Kluyveromyces lactis: one gene and its partner. The protein of the gene in region 2 interacts with the protein of the main gene of each other region in a pairwise test. Links are inferred from orthologs where the notes say so. Each region holds a gene or a part of one and is shown on either strand. Other genes may lie near its edges. The genes, in order: SDS22 and GLC7.

Region 1 (3,168 bases), on a different chromosome or scaffold from region 2:
AAATCGTAATTGTTTTAGGATTCACCGTAATATATTCGGTGACGGTATCGGACAACTCCTTGACTTCTTCTGAGGTCAATCTCCTATTAATCTCCAAATAGTTGAACAGATCATACGGTTCAATCTTTGGTTTCTTCTCACTTGGAATACCCCCCATAGACCAAGAGAGGGTTTTCAACCCCCACTTCTGTTCAAGAATTGCACTTACCAAGTGCTGTCCCGTATGTTGCTGCATATAGTCCAATCTCTTATCCCAATCAATTTCAACAGACACTTTAGCTCCGACTGGAACATCCCTATCAGTGATATGAACTGCATGCAGTCCTCTTCTGAATACTGAGGAGACAGGAATTGAGGCCCCAGTTTTGAGAAGGAATTTCCCAGAGTCACTAGGTTGTCCGCCACCTTCTGGAAACAAGATAGTATCCTGAAGTTCGATCTCAAAGGTATTCTTCTTCTTACCTACATCGCATGCAATTACAGTAGTCTCAAATTCTTTGGCCTTAAATGAGTCTCGTTGGCAGGCTAGAGAACCAACAAAAGTGTGGTTTGCAGTTTTAACCATGGCTAACGTTCCGACCAATTTTATGCCTCTTACCATCAGCTTTTATGCCGACTAACATGTTTTAAGTTCCTTTTTTCCTCTCTTCTTATCAATGATGTAAGTTGGTTAAAATATTGATTAGTAAATGATGTTCTGTTGTTTGTGCTAGATATGTACATACATATATATAACTGAGGGAAAAGCAGCAAATACTGGTTAACTGCTCATTCAATAGAAGTGCGTAGCGTATATTTATTTAATTAGGCACGAACGTACGTAGCGTCGATTTTTTGAAGCGATTCCCCCAAATTCAACATAATCTTTCTTCTGTACTGTGTAGGATTTTTAGTCTGTATTGGATTTCCTTCGAGATATATCGTTTCAAATTCAGGTAATTTCCCCAATTCTTCGCCTAGAGATTCGAACGGTTGATCAATTTGATTATCAGACGCCCATAGGTCAGTAAGATGTGTCAAATGCTTTAAGTTTTCGATCTTCGTAAGTCTATTACCAGTTACATCTAAAGTAGTTAATTTTAGGTTATTTTCAAGTCCTTCGATCTTCGAAATAAAATTGTGAGAGACATACAATTCTTCTAAGTTCTCCAACTCCTCAAGTCCTTCAAATTTCTTCAATTTGTTAGATTGGATGCTTAATATTCTCAAATTTTTGAGGTGTTGCAAGTTTATCAATTTAGGGATTGAGTTCTTACCCAACCATATCTCTTCGAGATTAGCCAAACCTTTCAAGTCATCAGGACCAATTTCTTTGATTCTGTTGCCACCAAGCTCAAGATTTTTCAACTTTGTAAGGGTTCCTAAATTTTCAATCTTAGATATCTTATTCTGGACGAAATACAAATTCTCGAGGTTTACCAATTTATCGACGTTCTTGATAGTTCTAATCTTATTAAAAGATAAGTCGAGTGTCTTTAGATTAGAGAAAAGATTAACGCTTTTCGAGATGTGTTTGATTCTATTATCGTAAAAATCAATCTCTTCCATGTTTTCTAACGGTAGTACCTCCAGTTCAGCTATTGACTCGATCAAATTCTGTCTTAAATATAACTTCTTCAAATTCTTAAATCTCAACAAATTCAAGTCTTCCAACGCCAGTACTTTCAAATGCACTAAGTCAATTACTTCGGTGTCATCTGGTATCTCTGCGGCCAATTCTGCATCTGCAGATATATAGTCAGGGTTGTGGTCTTCTATGACGTTCGATTGTAACGAGCGTCCCGCTGTGAACAACCCTGAAGATGATTCGTCCGGGGAATCAATACCAGTCTCTATTTCCTCATTCGTATTTTCATTATCAGTATCACTCAAAACTCTCTCTTCACGGCTCATTTTTTATATATTGGAAGTATATGGGTTCGGATCTAATACTAAATGGCGTTTATAACCATTGTCTTTACCTCAACAACCGTCTGTCTAAAGATGTGGTTTGCATGTTACATAACCTTAAAAATTGAACTCAGTGATCATTGGGCGCAAGGAAAAATGTTTGAATTACAAATCATATGACCCGATGGAAATCAAGTTCAAACATATGGAGTAATAAGGATATACAAATAGACGTTTACATATAGCACTTTGGCCATGAAACAGTTCATCAAAACTATCTTATCTTTCATTATAAGTTATATATGTGTGTCAATATATGTACATTCTTCCACATTAAATTCTGGTAAAACCGAAGGGCAACGTTTCGGATCCCAATTGCTTAGTTAGCTTCCGGGCTGGAAGCGATGTATTCCACAGTTTCACCGACAGACTTGAGCTCATCTGCAACCTTATCTGGGAATTCGATATCGAATTCTTCCTCAATGGAAACCAACAATTCAACGGTATCCAATGAGTCTAATCCTAAATCCTTGGAAAATTGAGTGTTAGCAGTAATCGAAGTAGCAGAAGCTGTCTTATCAAAAGATTTAATCACATCAGCAATACGGGTTGTGATTTCTTCTTTGGATAGAGAAGAAGAAGCATAGAACCTGGAAGCACTTGAAAAAGTTGGCTTTACAAATCCGCTTCTCAATCCAGAAACTCTGGTCAAACTTGGGGCAGCACGGAATACACTTCTAAACATCTTTGCTTTCCTTCTTTATCTCTCTGTAATATCACTAGACACTATACTGTACAGTAACAACGATCTGAAATAATCGAATGTAAAATAAAAAGAATGTACAACAAATGATCGTTGAAAATAGTTGTGGTAGAAAGGTTTAATCCAAACTCTCTCTCTGCAAAGAATTGGCTTTTGATCGATTTTTTACCGGGAAAAATTGCTTAGGCACATAAATCACTCCGTACGTTTTGATGTTTTCCTAAATGTATTTGGATTGTTATATAGACTACATGAGGTGAGAATTAGAACAGTTGCAGTGGGAGAAAGTTATTCTATGCTATCTTGTGCTTCTTAGCATGCTGATATGTGTGGTAGGACGAGATATTCTCGTAGCATGTGACGCTGCGTGAGATGGCGCGTTGCTTTTTGTAGTTCTATGGGAAGAGGTAACGGTGAGATCATGCATACTGTTTTTTGTTGCACTTCCGTTACTTCCAGCAGATCTGATAGAGTGGCTCTCTGAGAATATGGATCTTGACATTAGCATACTACTT
Region 2 (3,197 bases):
ATAGCTCGTCACCTTTGTTCAAGTTTTCAAAGAAACAACGACGACCGTACGCTGGTAGATGTACCGTGTGTGCGTTACACAAACCAGCAAATAGTAACACCAAAAATTGTAATAGCATTCTTATATGTAAGGACTCTCTGGCTACTAGTTGTTTTTCACTAGACGGTTGAGGGTAGTGCAATAACAAAGATGAAGGGACTCAACTCGATGAAGTGTGTGAATACAAATGTCATGTAAGTAACAGATCGTCAAATAAAACACGACTTCAACTTTTTGCCAAAAAAAAAAAAAAATAACACATAGAAAGATCGAAAAAAGAGGGTTTTCCAAAATTTTCAGTCTATGCTAAAAAACACGATGTGTCTACAGCACTATGTTAACGTACGTGTTATTGGTTTAGTCGATTGATGTATGGAAAAAGGCTCAACGGCTAATCTACAGAATTTTCCTTTGCAATATGTAGAATATATATATATATGTATATATCACTGCGTATATATATACTAATAACATGAATGATGGGATATGTGTAAAAGGGTGATAAGAGAGTAAAGTGGAGATAAAGGTTTGAAATTGAAATTGTAGCAGCCCGCTTGACATTCGACAAAGAAATTATGTTACAATATATTAGAAAGGTATAAAGGAAAACGTTCTAGCTCAGCAAGTTTTTCCAGTAATATATCTTATACTTTATGTTTGAATTTAATAGTTTATTTTTTTCTGGTTTTTTCATTGGGGATTTTCTTTGAGATGGGATTCGTTGTTTAAAGGGGGGGGAGAGATGAGGATGATGATGATGATGATGATGATGATGATGATTAAGAAGGTTTAAATTTAAATTCATCATTTCTTTCTTCTCACTACGTTTCGTTCCAATAACTTAGAAGCTGGTTTCAAGATTTGGAACGAACATAATAAACTTTCATCAACAGACATCATAGCACCAGCGTTATCGAACTCACCACAGTAGTTTGGAGCACTGAACAATGTTACCAATTGTCTTTTACTGAAAAACTCGTATCCGTCTTCGACGACTTGATGTGCTCTACAGATCAATTCCATATCTTGTTTTTGTAAAAACCTACTCACTACGTCAGGACCAAAAGTGAACGAGACACCTCTATCGTTTTCTGACCATCCAACGATATCTTTATCCGGATCGGACCATAACAAATCGCATAATAACCCCACGTCTGGGATATCGGTGGGTCTCATCACACGTCTGATTTGTTCCATGGTATTTAAATCTGGGGATAATCCACCATGCATACAAAAGATTTTTTCATCGACAATCGCAGCGATAGGCAAACAGTTGAAACAATCCGTAAAAGTTTTCCAAAGCTTAATGTTATAACGTCTCTTACATTCGTCGTAAAACCCGTAAATTCTATTGATCGATGCACATTCGTGATTACCACGCAAGATAAAGAAATTCTCCGGATACTTGATCTTGTAAGCCAACAGTAAACAAATGGTTTCTAGCGATTGTTTACCACGATCCACATAATCACCTAAAAACAGATAGTTGGATTCTGGTGGGAACCCACCGTATTCGAAAAGACGTAACAAATCATAATATTGACCGTGGATATCACCACAAATCTTAATTGGTGCCTCCAATTCCAATAGGATTGGCTGCTTGATGAAAATAGATCTGGCCTTGGAACATAAATACCTAATCTCGTGTTCTTCCAAGTCAACCTGATGGCCAGGTTTCAACCCTCTCACTTCCAACAATCTATCAATGATATCGTCAACGTCTACTGATTGTTGATCCATTTTTCTTATTTTATTCCTTGTTCCTTTGTTTTATAATTATCGCGGTACTATATCAAACGTTCTTAATAATTGAAGTAACCGATGGCAACTGTGATGCTTCCGTGTCTTGGATTATCCAAAAGTATTGGTTCTTATTAATCCTTATTTTTTTTTCCTAACGAAGCAAACAGATTATAGAATATAGCCCGCAACTTTAAAAGATAAAAAAAGGTACTAGTAGAAATTACCCTGGTTTGAAGATGCAATATTGTCTCACTTCCAATTTCTACAAACAAACAGACCCTGCTGTATTCTTTCTAACCTTCGTATGAACGTAAGTCTCTCAATCTCTTATGTTTTATAATTATCTTTCTTTAATAATATTAATTTTTTTTTTTAATCAATTGATTGAAAGAAAAAATAATAGAAAAACACACACAGAGTTTTAAAGGAAAAAAAATAGAATTAGAAAATAACCCGAAAAACGAGATCTACACCGTTTCGTATTGTGTTCAAACCTGTCGCCAATAACCACACACTGACCTGACTCGAGCTGGCGCCAATACTGATGATCTTCCCGGAAACAAATGGGAAGGAAAACACTGAAAATACCGTGTTTTCCCAATGAATAAAACACAAGTTGTAAGTAATGCCAAAAAGCGTTACCGAAAGTTTTCAATTCTCAATTTTCACTTTTGTTCTCCTTCATATGGGAAAAAAAGAAAAGAAGTCGCAGTGTCAGCTTGGTATCGCTTCGCATTGGACTGGAAAACCAACTGGGGCTAGGGATGGGGCTAGTGCCCAGTGTTGCCTTGCCAAGTGTCGTATATGTACTATTTAGTTATGGAATGGGTTGTGTTCTGTTTTTGTTTGTGAGCGGGAGGGTGCTAGGTATTTCAGAGATGTCGGGTTTCGATGGCAAAGATGCTACTACTACTGCTACTGCTGCTGCGCAGCAGCAGTAGCAGTGTCTATATTCTGCCTAGCATTTCGCACCGCAGCTCGCGCACGCAGCCTCTGACATTTACGTCCCTTGCCTTCTTTGCCTACTTCTCTTCTTCTCTTCTCTTCTCTTCTCTTCTTCTCTTTCCACTCGTTTACCATATTTATTATTAGAATCAAGATGTAAAGAGCTGGCAGGCTGCAGTTCGTTACATTCTCCATTAGGGATACATGAAAAAATACATATAGTAAATAAAACAAGGGCGTACAATAAGCTACCGCACCTTGCTATTTCGGGCAACACCAAGGCATAGAATCCGTTGGTTTGGATGTGTTCTCACTTCGTTGGTTCTGCCCTACCCGATAAGTTAGAGAAATGATGTATAGTGATGATATAGGGGAGACCAAAATGAGGGAAAGAGGGAAATCGTTATGAACGAAACCAGGGTAACAATGAGCGATGACCACGTCTCCCAAGGTTGTCGTTTTAGGATATT

The links.
Region 1: the proteins of GLC7 (region 2) and SDS22 interact in binary tests that used the Saccharomyces cerevisiae proteins (3 or more experiments, as listed by UniProt). The link is inferred for Kluyveromyces lactis from reciprocal best matches to the Saccharomyces cerevisiae genes GLC7 and SDS22.

Annotation. Positions count from the first base shown.
Region 1 is NC_006040.1:237,246-240,413, forward strand, and holds SDS22 (type 1 protein phosphatase-activating protein SDS22), read right to left. Parts: upstream 1,894-3,168; coding exon 805-1,893; downstream 1-804. Other genes in the region: KLLA0_D02794g (putative alanine--tRNA ligase), read right to left, coding at 1-601; ACP1 (acyl carrier protein), read right to left, coding at 2,270-2,635; guanine nucleotide exchange factor DCK1, read right to left, coding at 2,952-3,168. UniProt on the Saccharomyces cerevisiae protein: Regulator of the mitotic function of yeast type 1 protein phosphatase.
Region 2 is NC_006042.1:1,158,128-1,161,324, reverse strand, and holds GLC7 (type 1 serine/threonine-protein phosphatase catalytic subunit GLC7), read right to left. Parts: upstream 1,780-3,197; coding exon 844-1,779; downstream 1-843. Other genes in the region: EMP24 (Emp24p), read right to left, coding at 1-118.